2 linked regions of the Solanum lycopersicum genome follow. The protein of the gene in region 1 interacts with the protein of each later gene in a biochemical or structural test. Links are inferred from orthologs where the notes say so. Each region holds a gene or a part of one and is shown on either strand. Other genes may lie near its edges. The genes, in order: protein FAR-RED ELONGATED HYPOCOTYL 3 and HY5.

Evidence for each region.
Region 2: the proteins of protein FAR-RED ELONGATED HYPOCOTYL 3 (region 1) and HY5 form a complex in vitro, tested with the Arabidopsis thaliana proteins (2 studies listed by BioGRID). The link is inferred for Solanum lycopersicum from reciprocal best matches to the Arabidopsis thaliana genes FHY3 and HY5.

What each region holds. Positions count from the first base shown.
Region 1 is NC_090806.1:59,059,682-59,072,548, reverse strand, and holds the start of protein FAR-RED ELONGATED HYPOCOTYL 3, read left to right. Parts: upstream 1-6,968; 5' UTR 6,969-7,034; intron 7,035-8,149; coding exon of another isoform or gene 8,150-8,557; intron 8,558-12,867. Other genes in the region: uncharacterized protein, read left to right, coding at 8,150-8,557.
Region 2 is NC_090807.1:48,169,377-48,182,539, reverse strand, and holds HY5 (transcription factor HY5), read left to right. Parts: upstream 1-5,868; 5' UTR 5,869-5,930; coding exon 5,931-6,027; intron 6,028-6,181; coding exon 6,182-6,359; intron 6,360-6,491; coding exon 6,492-6,648; intron 6,649-8,973; coding exon 8,974-9,018; 3' UTR 9,019-9,406; downstream 9,407-13,163.

The sequences.
Region 1 (12,867 bases):
TGATTCAAGATTTAATGCTGGGGCTTCACAAAATTTAGTTCTTGATAGACAAAATCTACCTCGGAGAACATCTAGGCTACACAAATTAACTAGATGTGGAACAGGTAGTCACTATCAAAATGAGAAAGATTTTGAAAATGAAGATGTAGAAGATTCGGATTTAGAAGAATAATTTTTATGCACCTTTATTCTAAAAGGTTGAAGATTCGAATTTTGAAATATGTAAATTTTGTTGTTTCGTACAAGTTTGAACAAAGTAATGAGATTCTTTTTTTTTTTTTATGTTTGAACAAGTTTGCAGGATTTATATTTTCTTTAAATCATAGGTCAAATTAATACTTTTTATGTTAGGTCAAATCATTACTTTTTAATAGAGTTCAAATCAATAATATAATAATAATATAAAGATATTATACTTACAATATTTAAAATGCAGCAAGACAAATTAAATTCATGTCAACAAATAAATATAAAAGATATATCATAATATTAATAACAAGACAATAAAAATACATTAACCTTAAAAACATAGACAAAATATTTAAAATCGAGTAGGACATCGTGCCTTTAAGTGACTTGTCTCCTTACAAACACTACATTTTCTAGTCATGTGAGCCGGAGCTATATCCATATCATTCTTAAGTCGGCTTCTTAATTGCGTACCACTTGTCCACAAATATTCAGTATTTGCAGTTAAATTAAAAGGTGCTGGTGGCCAATACATTTCATCACCCACTGGGTTAAATGTCTCAGTGTATGTTCGTTTTTAATATTTTGCACTGTAGAATTTACTTACATAAGATTTTGGCTCGATTCCGCGAAGTCCACAAATTTTGATAGTTACCGAACAAGGCATATGATAATTTCTCCATTTTTCACAAGAACATTTCTTACCTTTTGCAGTAACTTTGTGGACATTTTCACCTTTACCATCATGAGCAAAAGTAAGAATTTCAAAAAGTACATCACCTGTGTTGTAAGTCATCATATTAGTGTGCCTTGAGCTCTTTGATAATAATCATTAAATTTTTTATCTATCGTAAGAGGCCATGATATATTACTTTGAAGTAATGCAATTGCAAGATTGTTTCTTTCGACAAAACGATCAACGAGAGCTTTGAACGTCATTCGAATCATGACAGTCACAGAAAACCCCCGAGCTTTTTTCAATAAATCATTATATGACTCAGACACATTTGTCGTCATGGCACCCCATCTACAACCACCATCCTTATATATTGTCCATTTTTCCAAAGGAAATTCATTTAACCATTCATATGCTGCATGACACAATGTTTTGATTTGTTGCATCCGTTGCACAAACTTTTTCTCCTGCTGCTCAGTAGCAGCTAAAACATTAGTTTTTCAAGTTCACTATTTACAAATTTTTAATTAAAATTTGCTTTTAAGTGTTGAACACAAAGTCTATGATATGTGTTGGGTGGACTCAACCAATTATAAGATTGAACACACTGCAAGATTCCTTGATGACGGTCAGAAATAAGAGCAATTCCTTGTCGTTCACAAACTACATGTGTCCCTAATAACTTGAGAAACCATGACCAAGACTCAAAACTCTCACGTGCGACTAAACCATATGCAGGTGGAAAAATATTTCCATTTGCATCAATTCCAACCGCAATTAACAATTTGATATCATACAAATCATAAAGATGTGTGCCGTCGATAGAAATGACCGGCCTACAACTTTTGAAACCATCAATGCTCTTTTTTAAAATCCCAAAAAAGAAATTTGAAAATTTGCTCACCTTGCATTGTTGTAGAATGATGCTCCCACTCAATAATAGTGCCTGAATTGAATAATTGTAGTGCAACCATGTATCAAGGTAATGCCTTAAATGAACTTTCAAAATCACCATAAACCATTTGAAATGCTTTTCTTCGACCTTTTTGTGCTTTTCTATAACTAGGAGTATAGTGATGCTTTCCTTTGACAATTTCACGGATCATCTTAATATTTATGTCTGAATTTTGCATAACATATGGTATTAATGAAGTGGTAATCATGTTATCATTCAAATTGAAATGATCCTTCTTATAGTTATCTGTAAGACAAGTATGTGTTTCAACCATTTTTCCTGTCTTCCACATACCGCTTGAAATCTCTCTAAATGGAATCATCTAATCACACCCTAACTCATGACACTTGCAAATAACTTTTCAACTTTTACTCTTTGATTGATCACAAAGAAATTCTTTTTTAATAGCAAGAGTATATGCTCCTATTGCAAATTCCATTTGCATCTTATTCATAAATAACATATCTAGTTGCATATACAAATTAAATTAATCAACATGAAATAAATAAATAAATAAATAAACAACTACAAAATATTTAGTTTTCAACAATCAAACCTGATTGGATATGTTTAGGATTGTTTGAATTCCAAAGTGTTGTTCGAATGGCACCGTCATTTCTCGTGTAGATAAAATCTTCTGCATTTTCTCAGTGTGATCTAAGTATGTAATCGCTGTAGAATGATAATTAATACTTTGGGCTTCAACGGATGCATTAGGTGCATTATCCACATTATCATCATCGTCGTCATACATATCATCACTGTCTGTTAATTCATGCTCGAAAGGTTCATCATTGTGCAACTCATCAACTCGTTCATCACCCAAAACATTATTATTTAGGATTTGTGTACAATAATTCACTGCATTTTGAATTTGATCATACCTATAAAAATAATAATATAAATATATTACATATAAGAAAAATAGTTTTAAGAAATAAGAAAACATTACTTTATTTATCTATTAGTTGAATCCGATAAGAAAAAATTCAAATGACTGAAATTTTGGCTATACTCTCCCATAATAGCACACTTCAGTTAGAAATAATGATCTCTTGAAGTAATGATCATGAGTATATATATAACAATTTATGAAATAGCAACGTGAAAAGCGATGTATAAAAATCCAAAAAAAAATGAAATTGCTACCTAGGCAGCGATTTATAAAAAAAATAATTAAAAATAAGAAAAATCGCTGCGAAGGCAGCGATTTAAAAAAAATTAAAAAAATGTTAAATCGCTGCAATTTAATAAAATTGCTGCCAAGGCAGCGATTTAACTTTTTTTAAAAAAAAAATTATAAAATCGCTTAGCGATTAACATATTTTAAAAAAATGTTAAATCACTGCCAAGGCAGCGATTTAACAATTTTTTTTAGTTTTTGTTTTTTGAAATCGCTATATTTTTTATAAAAAAATTAAAATCGCTGCCTAGGCAGCGATTTCATTTTTTTTTTAGAAAAACAAATCACATTTTGTAAAATCGCTGCAGAGGCAGCGATTTTTCTTTTTCATGTGGAGTGAATCGTTGTTGATGCAGCGATTTTGCCGTTTTGGTTAATATAAAATTTTATATACCGTTTTGGAATTTTTGTTAATATTTTAAACCCTTTAGGCTCCGGACTCTTATTTTGACAAACACACCATTACTCTTGGACACTCTTGATAAAATTTCGCTCCACCACTCTTCTACACCAAAAGCAATCAATAAGATTTTCTGTTCTATCTTATATTCAAACTAAACGACTCCATAGTGTTTTAATAAGTTAAGGCATTTGACTTATGTTTTCATCATCTTCACCATTTTTACCAAAATTATTATTTGCCAAGAACTATTAAAAGTTGCCAAAATTTGCATAGTGTTAAAATGTCTCTTGCATGTTTGGTAAACTGTCTCACAGATTTGCCAATTTTGTTTTGTTTTCTCATTTTGCAATACATTAAAAAAAAGATTATCTCAACACTATTTCAAAGATGTATTTAACAATTGATTATAATTGTGTCACATCCATCAACCCTAATTATATAGCCTTTTATTGGAGTATATACGCACATATAATTTACCATGGTATAGAATTGATATACTTTAATTGTGGAAAGTGGGGCCTCGAAATAGTATATATCTGCATATAACATGAGTTACGAGCCTAAGAGGTATAAAATATTGACAAAAAATCTAAAACGGTATATAAAATTTTATATTAATCAAAACGGTAAAATCGATGCATCAACAGCGACTTACCCCACAGGAAAAAGCAAAATCGCTGCCTTTGCAGCGATTTATAAAAAAATAATTAAAAATTAAGGAAATCGCTGCTGGGGCAGCGATTTTTTTTAAAAAAATAAGGAAATCACTATTTTTTTATTTTTAAAAAAAAAGGAATTATTTTTTTAATTTTTTTTGAATCGTTGACCCAGTAGCGATTTCCTTATTTTAAAAAAAAAAGGGGCAGCAATTTTCTTATTATTTTTTTTAAAAAAAAAATTTGGAATTATTTTTTTTATAAATCGCTGCGTAGGCAGCGATTTTATTTTTTAAAAAATAAATAAATTACATTTTGTAAAATTGCTGCAAAGGCAGAGATTTTGCTTTTTCCGGTGGGGTAAGTCGCTATTGATGCAGCGATTTTACCGTTTTGGTTAATATAAAATTTTATATACCGTTTTGAAATTTTTGTTAATACTTTGTACCCTTTAAGCTACGGACTCCACATAACATCACAAATATAAAACTATTGCTTAATATATAAATATGGATATAAATAGCTAAAAAGATAAACTACACGTCTAATAACTTTCTACCATATCTACTACTAATAAATATAGTATGAGTTAAATAACTCATGCAGGCAGAAGATCAACCTGCCCCTTCTTGTCTTTTATGGAATGCTTTTTATATTTTATATATTTGTTACTTTTAGTGTTATTGTTCTTTAAGGATCCATTAGCTTTTAATTGCAATTTGCGACCTAACTGTTTGTCAAGAGAAATGATGTATGGAGATTGGCAGCTTGAAAATAGCATCAAGTGATGGTATATTCTTGGCCCATAAAATTGTGACAGTACGAAGGAATGCATGTTATGAAGATAAGATATATTTAAATTGCTTTTGGATACGAAATTGCCTTTACTAGGGACTGATTTAACCCTAATGTGGGACCTTCCCGTTCGATTTCGAAATAAGTCGGATTTCAATATAAAAATGACTTCAAAATTAATCAAGAATTTAATATAAATATTAAACACCGAGTAAAAAATTAAAAAAAAAATATTATTGTAAATGTGCATATTGCAATAGATAAAAATTCATGTTGCATCAGGAAAAGTTTCTTCGACCTCAACAACTTTACTATGGTAAATAAGCTACTGGGGAAATTTAAAGTGGTATTATACACTCTCATGGTTGAAATAAAAAAGAGGTTAAATAATTTTGATGCAACATTGTTTGTTACTCACTCTTTTTTATTTGTCGATCATTTCTAAAAATAAATTTTAGTTTTTATTTGTTAAAATAATTATTTTTTGTATTTTACTTTTATTATTAGTTACTTATTTTTTATTTATTTTTTAAAGTTTATTGATGTAATTACCATGAATATAATAATTATCTATGAGAATAAAATGACAAAAATTAATACTAAACATACTAATTAATAAAGATTGTGAAGTAAAATAATTATGTCAATTATTGTTTTTTAATTTATGTGCCAAATTCAAATATGACAAGTTAATGTGCAAGCCAATAATGATATTGGGCAGAGAAATATTAGCTAGCATTTGAAAAAAAAAAGAATTCTAAATAATTTTTGCAAATCATTTTTTCGTAGGCTTGAGTGAAATTTTATCATGCGTTTCATCTTTTGCAATAGATTTTGAAAGAGATCGTTAGGAATTTGAAATCCAAATAGATTAGCTTAAAGCAAGTATGTGTTCAACTCCTTTCTCAATGGACCATGATCGATAATCGTTTGACCTAATTTTTTTTAAAATAATTTATACACATAAATTTTAATAATTATTAAAACTATTCATAAGTTTATATTATCATTTTATAACAAACATGTTTATAGAAATGTCACGACAATAATCACAATTGATTTGAATCTTAAAAAGAGAAAGAAGACAAAAATAAAAGTAGCATTAATTTGTATTAAAAAAACTACTTTACTATATGCAATTGAATGTGAATTTAGAGCAAGTTCGGATAAAATTATATAAAATAAATACATAACTATATAAAATTTATATAACAAACTATGACTAGAATTAGTCCAATATAAATTATCGGTCATTTTATAAACAAAGAAGGGCCTGAAATGCTCCTTAAGTACCTGATGGTATAAAATTGTCCCGCGTCTACTTTTTAATTCTAAAAATACCCTCGTTGTTAATCTTTTATTCATATTTGTCTTTATTTTGAGCTCTCTCAAGATTATTAAATATTTAATTATTATGTTATTTTGCGTGATTTGTCCAAATTTAAATTATTCTCATCTAAATAATAAAAATTATATTTTTAAGAATTTTTTTACATAATATACTTGAAAAATATTCAAAATAAATAAATAAATTTTCATGATATCTTTTTCTTGGCCTATTTTAAATCAACCTCCAATTTACTATAACTCAGATCATAAATGGGGATCCAACTAAAATCCATACTCACCCCAACTGATTATCCATCTAAAAGAAAGTTATTATTTTTATTATTAGTATAAATTAAAATTTTCTATCAACTAGATGTCTTGTTTATTTTCTTTTTATTCATTTTTTTAGTGTGTTACTCTTAATTAGGATATATGAGACTCAAAGTTGAAATGAACTCACATGTTTATATTTTTTTAATTTGTACTATTATCAAGGTGAGATGAGGATGGGGATAGGGGAAATGATTATTTTAATTTTTTATTTTAAATTTTGGATATATACAAAAGAAAATTGTAGTATTCGTACATATTTGCTTAATTAAGTCAAATTTTGTTGACCTAATTATTTCTATAGGAACGTTATCATTATTTTCCTCCTTCTCTCTTATTTTTTATAAATTGAAAAAAAAATGAAATGATGAACAAGATCCAAATAGAAAAAAATAAATGAAAGAGATAGGAAGTGAGGGGGGAGGGGGGGAGTGTGTAGAGAGTAGATGATTTATCTTCTTTTTTTTTTGTAATTTATTACATTCAAAATAAATTAATCTTGTGAGCTTATATATTAAGTAATTTCAAAATATTTAAACAGAAAAGGGCTTAAGATGTCCTTAAACTATGAGATTTGTTACAATATTGTTCTTCATCCACCTTATGAGTATGACCTATTAAACATAAGGATATTTTTGTATCAAAAGATTAACGTCAGGGGTATTATAAGCCCAAAAATGGATGTAGGATAATTTTGTACTAATTTAAATAGTCGAGGACCATTTTAGACCCTTCTCCGTATGATATGAAAATTTAGCATAATTTTTTTAAAAATCAAATAATAAATTTTTCTAATATTTAAAAACTTGAAATATTTCTCGTACTTATCAAGTCGGTGCAAATTGTATGATCAATTACAATAACTTAAATTATTTATATATATGTTTAGAAACATTAGTGGCCAAATGACACCAATTTACTGTTATAGTTTGTTTTCCTTTTCCATTTTCAATCAATAGACGAACCAAAGCTTTAAACTATTGGTTTTTATTTTTTATTGTTATCATTGCGAAAGAAAAAAAAATGATATTATCATCTCTTGGGAGAAAAAATAATGATTCCTATGTCTTTATTACTTGTCTATTCTTTTCTCTTTTTACTTATCTATTTTAGCTGTTAATGTTGACAAATCAACCGAGTTTAATTAATTATTTTTAATTCACCCACTTCATTATTAGTAGGGATAAATTGATAAAGTTATTATGTCAATCATTACTTTCTTAATAGATATGTCAATTTAAGGGCCCGTTTGGCCATAGATTTTGCACATCAAACTTGGGAAAAAACTTGGCAAATTTTGTTTGTCCATACACATTTCTATTATTTGGTAAATTTTTTTGGCAAATTTTCCAAATTCCCAAATACTAGAAAAAACTAATATTTGGGACAAATTCCATTATTTGGAAAGTTTTAAAAATTCAATTTTTACCCTTAACTTTTTATTTTATAAAAATAATAATATTTATTAATACCAACTAATTCATTTATCTCCCATCACATGGTATATAAATTAGTAGTTCTATTTTTATTCAATATAAGAAAATTTACTCAATATTTTATTTTGGTAGATAAATATTACGTTGTTGATGCTGGTCTACGGAACACAAGAGGATTTTTAGCTCCATTCAAAGGAATGCGCTATCATTTGCAGGACTACCGAGAAAGTGAAAGAGAGCCTAAGAATGGAAAAGAGCTATTTAACTATAGACATGCTTCTCTGCGCAATGTAATTGAAAGAACTTTTGGTGCGTGGAAAAGTAGATTCAGAATACTAAGACAAGGCATGAACAACTATGAATGTGACATGCAAGTGAAAATAGTAATTGCTTGCGCTGTATTGCATAATTTTTTACGTGAACACCAAAGTAGTGATGGAATATTCAATGAATATGAAAATGATGATATGGTTGTTGATGAAAGTGACGAACTATTGGCTCAGGGAAACAACATCGCTTCATCTTCTCGATCATCTGATTCGGAAATGCAAGCTCATCGAGAAGAGATTGTTCATAAAATGTGGGAAGATTATATTAAAGAATAGGTTGAGCTCTTTCAGAGAGAAAGCATAGGTTCTTCAGTGATTGCAATATTTATTTCCTTTTGTTTTCTTCTCTTTTTTTTCCCGAATTTATATTAGTTGTATTTTCATTATCATGATTAGTACCAAGACCTTTTCACTATACGAATATTTACTGTAATGATTCTTGTTAATTTGTTGCGGAAGTCATAAATGTTGTTACATGAGATTTCTATTGTGCTATGTAATACAAATTTATGGTTAGTTTGATAGTTTTAAAAACTTATGGGTATAAATCATATTTCTTAAAAAAATGAAATATGTTTCTCAAATTCTATGGTCAAACACATGGTAAAATTTCACCCAAATTTTCATCCAAATAATATTTACCAAAAATATTTCAATATCTATGGCCAAACGCTAGCTAAAAGTGAATAAGTAAATAGAGATAGAGAGAGTACAAGACTAGAAAATATAGGAAGTGGAAAAAGAATGAAAGAAAAACCCAGCCAACAACAAGAACACATTAATTTAGAGAAGAACTAAACAATCTTAATAGCTTAGCTGGTTACCTATTAGAACGATTACTTTATTTGAGAGAAATTAATTTTCACTTTATAATTTGCTCTTAATTTTCCCTAACCCATTTTTTTTCTCAAAAAAGTCTACCAAGCTTTAAAAAATGGGTATGGGTGAGAGTATTATTTTATTGATAATATTAAATTTAATTATTTATTTTATTTTTAATATCCAAATTACCTCAAAATTATTCAAAATAATATCTCATATTTATTCTCCATTTGCTTTTGGTATCAAAAATATCTTTTTGATCTATTATTTGGACCACAAACGCTTCCAAACTAACGAATATTCACATTAATTAGTTATTAGATCGCTGATATGACAATCCAACGTCACAAGAAAGAATCAAAATTAACTGTAAACTATTCGGATAGCTTATCTCATTATGTATATGAAGTAACTTTACATTATTATGTTATAAATGATGGGATAAATTATCTCAAACATGTTAATCAAACAAAACATCTAAATTTTATCTCAGGACTAATTTTTTATCCCATAACTATTTATGCTTATCCCTCACACAAACGAGCCACAAGTGCAACACAAAGAGAAATGAAGAGGACATATTTTTTACAAGGTTTTGACGTATTGTATAATGTAAAGTTATAAACTCAAAATTAATGTGAAAGTGTAAATTAAAGTCTAAAGGGCAAAATCAGTAGTAACCAGTAAGGTACTGAAATTAATATTTAATATTTATGTAAGAGTAAAATCGTAAATTATTACAATCTTAATGAGTTATCGATTTATCCAATAACTCAATATTATAAAACCAAAATCAAATCGATAACCATATTTTTTTTATTTTTTTAATAAAATCACTAAAACCTCATTAGTCTAATAACTCAATAACTATATACAACGAATAAATTCATTCAAATGTATCATTATTTCAATTGTATTAAAAAAAACTGTATTCTGTATCAATTATATTTGTATTCGTATGAATACAATATGCATTCATCCTCACTGTCAATTGTATTTGTATCCAATCAAAGAGATGATGAAAATGATTATATTTCTTGTATTTGAATATAATTGATACAAAATAAATAAAGAATACCATGCAAAATAAATACAAATACAATGTGTTGTATTTCAAATGCAATTGATACTAAATAATCAATAATACAATGCAAAATAAATACAAACTACAATCCTCTCTCCTCCCTCTCTTGCTCGCTTCTCTCCTCCCTCTCTCGATATCACTCGCTTCTCCCTTTACTCAATAGATATGCTCGCCTCTCTCGATTTCGCTCGCCTCTCTCCTTACTCTCTCGATCTCGCTCACCTCTCCTCTTAATATGATGTACTGATTTTGATACAAATCAATTTATCTTTGTATTCTTTTCCTTCACAATTAGCAAAAAATACACTTTCTCCTAAATCTAGCTCGCCTCTTTCCTTTCTCATCTCTTATCATTGTGCTATTATTCGTAATTAGCAAACTAAAGTTATAGAATACATATTGTTTGCTATTTTTAAAAGTTTTCCTTTATTTAACTTGCAAAAATACCATGAAACTATTTAAAAATTATTTTAGTTTAAATGCACTTAAATAAGCCCTTATTGGTTACTCTCTTTGCCTAAACTTTAATTTGGATACAGAGAGAGAAAGAGAGAGGATGGAGAGGCAAGGGAGAGACGAAAAAAGTTTACTATAAAAATAATATGTTATTATTTTTAAAATTATTTTTAAATTATAGCTATTTTTCATAAATAAATTTCTAATTTTAACTAGTCATAATTTTCCCAAAAAATACTTGAAAATTCTTAATTTTAAGTTAAAATAACAAAAATAAATTAAAACTCAAAGACTTGTAACTTTATTATGTTGAAACTAAACGAACTTCGTACGCAGATCCAAAAAATTAAATGGCAGCTACAACAACTCCTTTTATTAGCCTTATCAAACTACCTCATGTATGTCCAATTACTAAAATACCCAACGAGGACAAATTGTTGCATATGATTAGCAAATCTTGTGACAACAAAAAAATTAAACAAGCCCCATGGCACGGTAGAGCTATCAAAAAGGGACGGTCCAGCTTCATCGGGTCCAAGCCTCGTGAGTCAAGAAATTCGAAGGGCTAGGGTGGGTTGGTCCTTCATTTGGAAGGACCTAAAAATGCTTAATCCAATCTTAGAAGGGCCGAGGGCTGGGGCGGGCTAGCCCTTCTTTTTTTCAAACTTATAATTTATAATATCAAGAAAATGTAAATATTTTTCAAATCAAATATGACAAACAATGGTGTTGTTTTAATAATACTAGCAACAAATTTGGTGTAATTAGCATGTACCTCGTCTAGCAGATACGCGAGCAAAATAAGACAGTGACAAGAAAGATGAGGGAAATCAAGGGCGCAAAATTTGTCTATGTATCCTAGATACATATGTATCACTTGGATAGAGTGTATCTAGAACAAATTAACCTAATTTTGAGTACATATATTTCGAGATACATGTATCTGGATGTATCAAAATCTAATAAGATTCATAATATTACAACATAGTGTGTATTAAGTATAATTATATACAAGTAAGATTATTTTAAGTTACCCTTAAATAAAAAGTTGTGACTCATGAACCGACTCCGGCCTGAATCAAGTCTCAAAGGTGAAAGACTTATATGAATTGGGTTTATAAGTCCTATTTTAAATGAATTTGAAAAATTCTTTCATAACCCCACCCTAATAACAGGTTGAATCGAACCGATCTCATAAGCTAAGTTCGTTTTGACACTCTAAAAATAAGATACAAAAATTGAAAACGCGATCCTCTTGGTGAAACACGATATCAAAGAAAAAACCTAACAAAAGAGTTCTTTGATTACAACTAAGATAGATTTGGTTCAATTAATTCACCCCTAATAAATTGAAAATTAATTTCCAGCTGGACACAGATTGACAAAGACCCGTGTATACACTTATTCCCTTTTCTTAGTAGGTAAAGTAAAGTAAAGGAATATTCCTATATTTTAATTAATAAAACGCTGTGAACGATTTTCTTGTTTAAACATGGCAATTGTGGTAACTACCTCTGGCATTCATCACGTATTAAATGTGCATTAATTGAAGGGAACATGACAATTGGGTCAATTGTCTTTTTGGCATTTAGAACCTATTGAATTTGCATTATTTGAAGCTATCCCATTAGTTTAAAAACAAGGAAAATAATTTTGGCAAGAAAATTTGGTCGGAATAATATTATTTATATTATTTTATGGTTTTACATATTTTTATCATTTTAACTTTAATATCTTTTAACTTAAAAAATTAAAAAAAAAGATTAATTTATTTTAAAATTGAAAAAATATTATAAATTTTTTAATTTTTCTGGCCATTTAGCATTACCCGAAAAATAATATCTCCCATCTATCTTTACCTGTCTAATATTCCTTAATAGGAATTATCCCTCTATATATTATTTCTTAAGAAGTATGTTAACTATAAATAACAAGTAAAGATGAACGAATAAGTAATTAAATCTCTTTTAAACCCTCAATATAATCATCCCCTATTATCTTCACGTGAAAGAACAAAAATGGAAATATAAAAATATAGAGTAACTAAGTTGTGTTCCATTACAAATAATGCAAATACACATCATGAGCTATTTTACAGCATGTTAGGTAAGAATCACTTGTTCATATAAGACCCACCATCGCATAAATGTGTTAGAGCAATTCTCAGTAGTTGAAGGACAACTTGTTTTTTGTTTTAATTATCATACTGTCATGTTAGGTTCAA
Region 2 (13,163 bases), on another chromosome or scaffold:
AACCTCTCTGTTAATGATGATGCCTTAGTATAAAAGAAGGTTTGATGAACTAAAAGAATGAGGTTAATGGATCGGGTGTCACGTTCCGACACCAGGATAGTAGTAGTGGATCGGGTGTCACGTTCCGGCACTAGGATAGTAGTAGTGGATCGGGTGTCACATTTCGACACCAGGATAGTAGAGGATCGGAGTGTCACGTTCCGACACCAGGATAGTAGTAGTGGATCGGGTGTCACGTTCCGACGCCAGGATAGTATGAGGAGGATCGGAGTGTCACGTTCCGACACCAGGATAGTAAAAATAATGAATCTTGAAATATGTTAATATACTCAATCTAAAGAACCTATTTCCCAAATGAGTATGGTGTGGAGGCTTGAGTCCTCATAGATGTGCTTGGGTTGTGGCCAATGGTTATGGTACTTGTTGTTGTCATCTGTTAAGTGTTACGGTTGATTTTATACTATTATCTGATATATATTGCTTTCTATTTTGAGTTGGTCGATGATACCTACTCAGTACTTGTGCCTTGTACTGACCCCTACTTGTATTTGTTTTTCTTGTTATTTGTGGAGTGCAGCAAGCGTGCCATCGTCTTCAACTCGTTCTCAACTCTAGCCAGTCTTCATCACACCAGAATTCAGGGTGAGCTATTGTTTCTAGCTTGGACTGGATCTTCTTCTTCACGTCTTGACGCCTTGAAGTTCTGGCACAGACTAGCTGTTTATTTATTTTAGCTTCTTACATACTCTTAGATTTAGTAATTTGAGGATAGATGTTCTTGTGGTGATGACTTCCAGATTTTGGGAATAATAAGTATTGAGTGTTTAGAAGTTATTAATCTATTTTCATTAATGAGTTTTAAATCATCCGCATTGTATTCTGTTCATTATGGTTCAATTATTGGTAAATGATTTGGGGTTTAGATTGGTTGGTTTGCTCACATAAGAGGATAAATGTGGGTGCCACTCGTGACTCGTTTTGGGTCGTGACAATTTATAGCCAATTGATTTAACATCACTAGGCGTTTGAACTACTAGTCCAAAAATCTCACGCTTAGCAAGTGAATTTAATCTTGATTGAATTGCTTCTTGCCATTTTAGCCAATCACATCTTTGTCGACATTATTTGATAGATAGAGGTTCAAGATCCTCATTTCCTTGCATAATGTTAAGTTCAACATCATATACGAAAACATATTGATCGAACTAAACTTATCCCATCACCTGTAGAACTTGTTGAGAGTTCTTCATTTACTTGAGTCTCGGGTTCACTGATCTCTTCAGAAATATCAGAATTAATTAGATCTTGAATTTCTTCGTGAGATTCTTTTGTAGTGTCATTTTTTGTACTTCTTTTTCTAGGATTTTTATCTTTTGAACCCAGTGGTCTACCACGCTTCAGGCGTATTTGTGATTCAGAAGCTATGACACTTGTAGATGGTCCTTTTGGAACGTCGATTCGGATAGGCACATTTACTGCAAGAATATGTGACTTCGTTATCCTTTTTGAATCAGTAAATGAGTCTGGCATTTGATTTGCTATGTTTTGCAAATGGATGATCTTCTGGACCTCTTGTTCACACACAGGGGAGCGTGGATCAAAATGAGAGAATGATGAAACTTTCCAAGCAATTTCACTTTTCAGTTTCTTTTTATCTCCCCCTAATTGCGGAAAATTTATTTCATCAAATTGACAATCTGCAAATCTTGCAATGAATAAATCTCCCGTCAATGGCTCAAGGTAGCGAATTATGGAGGGTAAATCAAACCCAACATATATGTCTAAACTTCTTTGAGAGCCCATCTTGGTGGGCTGAGGTGGTGCTACAGACACATATACAACACATTCAAAAATTCGAAGATGAGCAATATTTGGTTCATGGACAAATACCAATTGTGATGGGGAGTATTTCTTATAATGAGTCAGTCTGAGACGAACAAGTGATGTTGAATGTAAGATAGCATGACCCCAAACAGTAGTAGACAACTCACTTTTCATAAGTAGAGCTCTTGCTATCAATTGTAAACGCTTAACAAAAGACTCAGCAATGCCATTTTGAGTATGAACATGAGCTATAGGATGTTCAACTTTTATCCATACTGATACGCAATAAGCATCAAAACCTTGTGATGTGAACTCGTCAACATTATCAAGGAGAATTGTCTTAATGGGATAATCTGGAAATTGCGCTCTTAATCGAATCATTTGTGTCAATAATTTTACAAACGCCAGGTTGCGAGATGATAAGAGGTAGACATGAACCATCTAGAAGATGCGTCTATTAGGACCATAAAATAACTAAACAACCTACTAGATGGGTGAATAGGTACACAAATATCCCCATATATTCGTTCTAAAAATTGAGGGAATTCAATGTTAACCTTCATTGGTGATGGCCTAGTAATAAATTTGCCTTGGCAACAAGCAACACACGAAAACTCATGATTTGTAAGAATCTTCAGGTTCTTTAATGGATGTCCATTTGAGTTTTTAATGATTCGTCTCATCATTATTGATCCAGGATGACCTATTCGGTCATTCCAAATCAGAAAAGTCTTTAAGTCAGTAAACTTCTGGTTTACGATAGAGTGTGCTTCAATCGTACTTATTTTTGCATAATACAGGCCAGAAGATAAAGTTGATAATTTCTCCAACACATATTTCTGGTCTGAGACAATCATGGTAATACCAAGGTATTCAACATTCATTTCATTTATTGTCTTAACATGGTATCCATTTCGGCGAATATCTTTAAAACTTAACAAGTTTCTTGGGGATTTAGAAAAGAGCAAAGCATCTTCTATGACAAGTTTTGTCCCTTTAGGCAGAAATATAGTAGCTCTTCCGGAGCCTTCTATTAAGTTTGAATTACTAGAAGTTGTAGTAACATTTGCTTTTCTTCTAAGCAAGTAGGAGAAGTATTTCTCATCTTTGAATATGGCGTGCATTGTTCCACTATTAATTACACAAATATCTTCATGATTGATCATTGAGGTATCCATATACTCTTCAAGATAAAAGATATAAAAGAAATAAACATTATAATATTATTACTAAACAAAAACATTACACACCCTTTTAGTTATTTACAAGTCCAGGAAAACATATTTATACTAGTTCATATAAACGACGAAAATAAAATATATTTACATTATCACAGACCCATCACCTATCAGGTGATCTATCTTTCCTTTGAGATTCTCAAAGAAATCCGCTACATCTAGATGCATTGGTTCAACAGTATCTTCCATGATAAAGTTGGCTTCTGCGTTATTTTTTACCTCCTTCAGGGAAGCTTGATATAGCTCAACCAGGTGCCTTGGCGTACGACAGGTACGTGGCCAATGTGCTTTTCCTCCACATTGATAACATTTGTCGTCTGAATTTTTCTTCTGCACTACGTCATGTTTTTCATTCTTCTTTTTACACTGCTGGTATTGAATGTTATTATTTAGTGCAAGACGATCATCATGATTGAAATTTCTTCCTCGACCACGGTCACGACTGGGGCCACGACCTTTTTCACGCTTAGATTGGTGAAAATTTACCGTATTTACTTCAAGAAATGGCATAGAACCAGTAGGTCGACTATCATGGTTTTTCATCAATAAGTCATTATGTTATTCAGCAACAAGGAGATGTGAAATTAATTCAGAATACTTTTTAAATCTCAATTCTCGGTATTGATGCTGCAGAAGCATACTCAAGATAGGGAAAGTGGAAAACGTTTTTTCAGCATATCATGGTCAATGATATTTTCTCCGCATAATTTTAATTGTGAGATAATTTTAAACATGACAGAGTAATACTCACTAATAGATTTAAAATCTTGAAGTCTCAAGTGGATCTAGTCATAACGTGTCTGTGGAAGGACGACCAACTTCAGGTGGTCATATCTATCTTTTAAATTGTTCCACAACATCAGAGCATCCTTAACAATGAGATATTCCATTTTCAAACCCTCATGAAGATGATAAAGGAGAAATATCATCGCCTTAGCACGATTTTGATTCGATGCTTGATTATTTTCTTGGATGATGTCTTGTAGACCCATCGCATCAAGATGAATTTCTGCATCGAGTACCCATGATAGATAGTTTTTTCCCGATATGTCTACAGCAAGAAATCCAAGTTTAGAAAGATTAGACATTATTTAAGAAAAGGAAATTTATACCTCCGAGGCTTTTAAAGTCTTTACTTGAACTGGAAGAGACTCGTGCTGGTAACGTATTATAAAGAAAGCTCGGAATATTATATAAGAAGAAGAAGACAAGAAGTATAAGATAGAGGAGAATACTTTTTCTTATTCAAGTATATGTAAGTATCATATGTGTGTCCTACAATAGTGAATGAACAACCCTATTTATAAAGTGAGAAATCACTCCAAAAGTCACCATATTAAGTATCATAATAAATAGATACATTCTTATCCAAAAAGGTTTATGAAACCTAGTGAATATGAATGATTGTTCATGTACTAACTTTATGGACTATCCACTTATTCAATGAATTTATAACATAAATTAATTTATGAATAAATATTAAATTCGTACGCTAATACATATATATTTCATAATATATAAATATATATATAATGGAGCTACGGGTCATATTTAGAGCCGTAAAAAAATGCTTGACCCACGAAGCCAGCCCAACCCAACCTTGAAATAAGTTGGGTTGAGCTTAATATTTTTGACTCATTTATAAATGAGACTTTTTTAGCTCGCCCCATTTGCCCCGTTGGCCTCGTATCCAACCTGTAAACCTCAGAGTCGAGTTCGTGGGCTATTAATTTTTAAAAATATTTATATATATATTTTTAATAATGTTTTATTTGTAAAGATTTCATTAATAATTAAATATTTTGCAAAAATAAAAAAATCAAGTATTTTGCAATATCATATTCTTGGTGTAGATGAAGATGGACTTCTTAAGGAAATAATATCACATGTTGATTCAAATATGTTCGACGGTGGAAATTAAAGCGGAGTTGTAAAACATTAATTAATGAGTCATGTAATAGTTAGAGATTCAGATTTGTTAAGTATTTAGGCTGCCTTGTTGCTGAAAACTAGTTTTTTGTGGGAGAAATGATGGAATGATCAAAATTTATCCATTAAATCTTATGTTGGCTATTATGTATTTTTGTAAGTATTCACCAAAGCGTGTGATTCATAAATGTATTTTTGTGAGTATTCGCCGAAGTGTGTCATTTATAAAGGATTTTTTATTTAAATTGATGTCGTGTTTATAGACATAAACATTCGATATTCTTTTTAAGAGAATAATATTATTTATTTTTTGGTTGAAGGGTCAATCCGTTCCAATCCGTGGCCTGCTTATGACTGATTTAAATTGTTATTTTATTGATCCTTTAATTAAATAACTAACCCGCCCAACAATTCTCTAATCCATTAAAATTTGATTGGACCAACCTATTTAACGTCTCTAATTATATTTGATTTATAATAAATAAATAAATAAATAAGAGACGGGGAAAGTATAAAAAATTCTTGAAAGTGGATAGATGGAGTGGATAAAATATCTATCATGGGCAAAACGGTAATAACAATAGCACTTTTTATTAAACCAGCAAAAATAAATGGTCCCGATGCGTTGTACCTACTTAAAAGTTTTAAGAATAATTAATCATAGCCGTTAATACTATCAAATCGAAAGGCTGCCATTTGTCCACGACAGTTACGTATGAACCTTTGATTAAGCCGACAACTTATGGCTTCTAAAGCATCCACGATCACCTCTTTATATCCGTCCGATATGAAACTGATCCAACGATTATTATTCCATAGAGGTGCTTCTCTTTCTCTCCCCTCCTTGTTTAACATTCATGTCCCGCTATTTCTTTTCTGAATAAAATACGAAACTGTACTTTTCCCTTAATTTAGTGTTTTTTTCAAGTGTAGAGAAAAATGCAAGAGCAAGCGACGAGTTCTATTGCCGCTAGTTCACTACCTTCAAGTAGTGAGAGATCATCTAGTTCAGCTTTACATCATGAACTCAAAGAAGGTAATCTTTTTTAAAAAAAATTTAAATCCAGCTTTTTAACATTTAATTTTGACGAATTTATGGAGTAATTTTTTGAAGAATGTGTTGTTTTGGGTTAGGTATGGTTGAGATTTTGAAATAGTTTTTAAAAAACATTTTGTGTTTTTTTGTGAAGGTATGGAGAGTGATGATGAGATCAGAAGAGTGCCGGAGATGGGCGGAGAAGCGACGGGGACAACGTCAGCTTCTGGAAGAGATGGAGTATCGGCCGCCGGTCAAGCTCAACCATCAGCTGGGACTCAAAGGAAGAGAGGAAGAAGCCCAGCTGACAAAGAAAACAAAAGGTTAAAAAGGTAAAAACCTTAAACATCATGCCACGTAGGTGTATCTACTTGTCACATGTTATGGGCTTCCACACTTTCTTTTTTTGGATAGCAGTGGCATTTTAGTTAATATTGTATTTTTTTTTGGTGGGGTTGAAAAAGATTGTTGAGAAATAGAGTATCAGCACAACAAGCAAGGGAGAGGAAGAAAGCATATTTGATAGATCTGGAAGCAAGGGTGAAGGAATTGGAAACAAAGAATGCAGAACTTGAAGAGAGGTTGTCTACTTTGCAAAATGAGAACCAAATGCTTAGACATGTAAACATTCTTCTCTCTACTTCTATTTTTGCAATAGAATTGTTCATCTATATATCCTATATGCTTGAACGTGTGCCATGTCCGGTCTAATTACTATTCAGATACTTCTTCCACTTACCTCTATTTCTACTGAATCCATTCACAGCCAAACTCTCACCTCCCCCCGCATTTCTACATTCGTGCATCTTTCTCTTCACATATCTGAATCTCTTCCCGCATCTTATTCTCTTTCGAAACCACACTCAGCTTGTTTCAACTGTCCTGATTTTATTCTATATCTCCTAGTATATGTGTCCACACATCCATCACAATATCTTCATTTCCACAACTTTCATCTTTTGAACGTGAGAGTGCTCAACTACATGTACTTGCAAAGGCGTATTCAGGATTTCGGCAAAATGGATGCACAATTACGAATAAAATGCATCTTAAATATAAATTTGATCAATTTGACTTTAAAGTTTCTAATATAAAACCATTAAACTTTTAAAATTGTAGGTGCAAAATATATAATACTACTAGTTTAAATTTTAATGCACACATTTGATTTAATTATACATATAAAATATTTTTTAGGAATTTTTAATGTAATACACTTCAAAATTTTTGAAAAAATTAAGGAAAAAAAAAGAAGAAAAATTAGTTAAAACGCTAAAAGTATATAACCAATAACTACTTGTAGAGGTGCTACTTAAAAAGACAAGATAGATATCTAAGATTTTAATTTCTATCCTCACAGAGGTGCACCCAATCATCGTCATCATATTATTATACGATACTTTAACTGTGGGTTCACACATCTATATTTAAATATTTTTCTTAAAATATAACACTATTATATTTGATCTAGAGATGGTAGCATGGGTTCATGTGAACCCATGACACCCCCTCTAGATATGCCCCTGTATACTCAACCCCATACGACATAGTTGGTCTAACCGTCACTATGTAGAATTTCTCTTTATGTTTTGGTGGAACCTTCTTATCACTAGCAACTCAGATGCAAGTCTCTATGTCATACACGTTGCACCAATACAGTGAGTGACATCCTCGTCAATCACCCCATTTTCTTGGATAACGGACCAATATACTTGAATAGAGTATAGCACCAAAAGTTGTGGTCTATTGTTCAATGAAGAAGTTGAGAGCCATGAGATCTCAAGTTCAAATTCAATAGAGTAAAAGAGCTACTAGGTGATTGTTTCTGTATGTTCTAGCCTTGGTGAATATAGTTACCTGGTATTTGATGCTGGTTGGAGGTGATGATAGGTATCTCGGGTAATTAGTTAAGGTGCGGGAAAGCAGCCTTAAAAATAAATTAGATGAATGGGGGGATTATCCAGAAACAATTTATAAGCTCAGTCATTTCTTTGGTTTAGCTCACTCTTATATCGGGCTTTTGTTATGTCCCATCAATTATTTATTAAACATTGAAGACGAGGAGACAAACTATGAATTATCAACAATATGCTGTGACTTCAGCCTCCTGAAGTTACATTAGTATTATGTAATTTATGTGCAGTAGAAATGTACTAGCGTATGAACATAGATCAAAGCATGGAAGCTTTCTCACCTTCTATATTCCCCAATATGCATTATACTGCCCATCATATGTGTACAGAGCATTTAAGCTGAACATATAATGTATGAATGAAGTGTTCTTGTATCTTCCATAGTATATCTGGTAGCGAGAGATGTAAAGAATTGCGTAATCATCCATGATATATGATGTCAGCTTTCTACTCTTAGTTATTACCTTGTAGTAAATCTAAGAACTACGCTCATGTTAATTGGGAAGTGTAGAGATTACTTGGGTAAAACTCTCAAGGCTTGTCTGCATGAACATGTAATACCAGTAACCGGTTCCTATAAATTTCGACCTTGAGCATGTGTTGTATCTATACACATCTTTCAGCCTGTATTTAAGTCACAGGCGTGGCTATTTCATATTAACCCTTTCTTATACACTTCCCCTCTTGCCGGTTAAGATTGGTACTTATCTAGTAGAATAACTATAAGATGAGTCTTGCTGAAAATCAATAAAGACAACTTAGAAATAACAACTCTATGTGACTATCAGTCAAATCTTGGATTTATCATGATTAAACATCTAATTGTTGGAATGCCATTGACCTGATTGACAAAACATCAACTTTCATGATTTCATATTGCATATCCAATCCGCCTATAAGAATCTCCAAAGACCACACAAAAAGGAATTCAAATGCTTCAATCTTTCCATGCTGTAAATTTGCTTTCTTCAGAGATGGCCAAAAAGAAAACGGTGTATATTTGGGGTTTGACTTCTTTTGTTATAATCTGCAGATACTGAAGAACACAACAGCAGGTGCACAGGAAGGGAGGAAGTAGACATATGATCGATCTTATGTCGATATGTCAGCATTCTTGTTTAGATCCTATGTAGGCACTGAAGAGAAATTCTCTTCTGGATTTGAGAATGCATGCTAGTTTCGGGTGGATTGTTCTGATTTGATGCATTGCATACTTGCTACTCTTAACCGTTGTCGGTTATATATTATCAGCAGAGAGTGAAGGATTGTGGCTAAGCTATTCTTAAAGTCACCAGCCTTTGGTAAGTTGCATGGACTAATCTTGGATGATATATGCTACAATTACCTATAACCTTTGCTAGCGTTCCCTAGTGAGTTGAAATCTTTATTAAAAACCAAATCGATGTACTGATAAGACTCGGTGTAAAAGAATTTGTGCAATTGAAAACCAATTAGGTACATTCAAATTTGTCTTAACCTAAAATTCGTTGATTGTGTTAACTAGTTAAATTGTTAGGTTTGCATACATGCAATGGAATTGATCCAAAACCTGATTGCTCCTTTGACAATGTACAATAAAAACAAAGAAATGACGAACCTAAATATTTAGGTCCAAAGAGCAAAAAGAAAGAGGTGAAGTCCTATTTGATTATTTTTCAATTACATATATGTATAAATTTAATTCCTTACGTTATCATATATATACAAATTAAATTCCTTAGGGTAAAACTTCAATTTCATATTTACAAATATCTACCAAGAATAATTACAAGAAACTAATGTTATTTCTATTCACATTTTGTTATCAACTCATATTTTGTATGAGTTATTGTGATATCTATTATAGGTCGATTATGTGTTAAATTTATTTCACGCTAACAAAAATCTATGAAGAAAGATAATAAATAATTTTAGAATTATCTTTCTATATTTGAAATGAATAATGATGAATGGCAAAAATGTAATTTCACGCTAACAAAAATATTAAATAATTTTAGAAACATCTTAAGTAATTGTTATTACCATTAACTTATTTTATTGTTACTTCATTTTCTTTTTATTTCTTTTACGAGTTATTGTGCCATCTACTTTATTATTACTTCATTTTCTTTTTATTTCTTTTACGAGTTATTGTGCCATCTACTTTATTATTACTTCATTTTCTTTTTATTTCTTTTACGAGTTATTGTGCCATCTACTTTATTATTACTCTATTTTACTATTACTTTAATTTTATTCTTAATAATTTTTCTATTCATTATGCTTCTTTAAAAACCTACTTTTATTATAAAAATGTCACGAATTAGTTATTTCAATCTTTATTTTTTATCTAATTAATATACTTGAAAATAAATTTGTGTGATAAAATTAATAATATATATTAGATTGAAATTAAAGAAAAAGATGTTAAAAGTAACTTTACAAATAAAAATAAATAGGATGATATATTTGTATTAAAGATGACCAAGAATAAAAATATAATTTCATTCTAATAAAAATCTATCAAGAATAAATAATTTTAGAAACATCTTTCTATATGTGAAGTGAATGGTGATCAAAGGTAAAAATGTAACTCATGCAAACAAAAATCTACGAAGAGTGATGATAAGAAAATTAAATAGTTCTAAAAACATTTTTAGGTATTATTATTAGTATTACCTCTTTTTTGTTGTTTCTTTTTTTTATGAGTTATTATGATATCTATTTATTATATGAAAGTTGATAAATAATATTATGCTTAGCTCTTTATAATTATATATCAAGTATAATATTAGGTGGAATCAATTAAAAATAAAAATAAAATTTATATGTATATTAAATTGTGTATTGAAGTATTTTTTAATTTTGTGAAAATTATAGGGATCCACTTTAAGTTTGCAGCGAAGTTTCTACATTGATGTTTTCAACACACATTACCACATTTATATTTTTCCCATCATTTTAACACGGAGTCCTCTAATTTATTTCTCTCTTGGGAAAATGCTCAAATATACTATTGAACATTTAGAAAAGACTCATTTATGTCATTTGTTAAAAAAAGTTTGGCTTATCTATATTATTACCATTCAAGAAAAGGTTCATTCATGCCATTATTTTTTAATTGTGGTTTTGCAAAACCATTTTTAACACGTGGTCAATTGTAATTCGGTCACGTCATCAATTTTTTAAATAAAAAAATCAAAATTCTGAAAAGAATTGAATTATTTTTTTTATTTTTTTTCAATTAATAAAATTGACGACGTGACTAAATTATAATTGGCCACGTGTCAAAAATGATTTTGCAAAACCATTGTTAAAATATACTGGTATTAATGAGTCTTTTCTTTATCAGTAGTGGCATAAATGAGTTAAACTTTTAATTGATGGCATAACTGAGCCTTTTCTGAAAGTTTAATGACATATTTGAGCTTTTTCTCTTCTCTCTTCTTCTATTTTAATATGTTTACTTGAGCTGAGGATCTATCGAAAACAAACTCTCTGCCCTTCACAAGGTAGGGGTAGAGAAATTGCTTATTCACCACCCTCCTAGATCCTAGTCTATTATATAGAAGAGTGAAGGGTAGGACGACCAAGGATAAAAATGTAATTTTATACTTATAAAAATCTATTAATAAAGATAGCAAGAGAAACAAATAATTCTACAAACATCCCATTGTATATGAAAGTAAATGGTGATCAAGGGTAAAACTATAATTCCATACGTACAAATATCTACCAAGAATAATAACAAGAAACTAATGTTATTTCTATTAACACATTTTGTTATCACTTCACCGTTTTTATGAGTTATTGTGATATCTATTCATTACTCTATTTAATTATTATTTTAATTAATTCCTAATATTTTATATTGAGTATGCTTACTAAAAAGACCTACTTTAACACAAAAATTCATTACTTAAAAATAAAGTTAATTATTTTCACCTTTATTTTGACTCTAATTAATGTATCCTAAAAGAAACAAATATGATAAAATTAATAATATATGTTAGATTTAAATTAAAAAATAAATAAAATTAATTTCAATATTTTTAAAAATAAGTATTTTAAAAAATAACTTTACAAATAAAATGAATAGGATTATATATTTGTATTAAAGTAAACTAAAACTGCTTACTAGATTATGAAAGTGTAGTTATTCATTAAAATATATAATTAAATATGTCATTTTACTTGATTTCAAACATATTGATCTAAATGTGTTTGATTTAAATAGTTGAGGACAATCTACCGTAATATGATCATTTTTTTATATATTTCATTTTAAAAACTATAAATTGTATTTTTAAAATTTAATTAAAATATTTTTTTTTCAAGTGATAAATTTCCTCCACAAGTTACATGACTATTCTAAAAACTATAAATGATAAGATTTTTCTAGAACTAAGTGTACGACACAAATAAATACACATTAACTCATTTTTCATTTCATTCACTCCGCAATTCTCTCCCCTCTCGTGCCTTATACCAATAAATTTTTCGTCCTTTATTTTTTATTTGCGTCCTAAATATTATACACTCTGGTATAAATCTCTTATTAGGAAAACCAATAATATAGTTTCGATCAACTCTCTCTATAATGACTCAACTTTCAGCAAAATTCAACATATCCACACTTTTCAAACACCCTAATGAATAAATTAACTTGTTAAATTCAGTATCAACCGCAATTATTTTTCTCAAAATGCTTAATTCAAAAGGAATGCAACCAGTGAGATAGCTATTCAAGAACAAAATATTCAATAATTTCAGAATCATGTTATGTCATTTCCTTTGGTTCTCTTCAGACTTTTCAATTTCATGGCATTTTTTTTGGGATTGTAGAGATAATTTTTGAAGTATCTAATTGCTTAATTTCTCTTTTATGTATAAACTCAAAACTTCACGTAACATATATGTCATTATATGAATGACAAAGATTAAAAATGTAATTTTATACTTATAAAAATCTAAAGATAGCAAGAGAAACAAATAATTCTAGAAACATCCCATTGCATATGAAAGTAAATGGTGATCAAGGGTGAAACTATAATTTCATACTTACAAAAATCTACCAAGAATAATAACAAGAAACTAATGTTATTTTTATAAACACACATTTTGTTATCAGTTCACAATTTTTTTAGTTATTGTGATATCTATTCATTACTCTATTTAATTATTATTTTAATTAATTCCTAATATTTTTATATTAATTATGCTTACTAAAAAGGCCTACTTTAA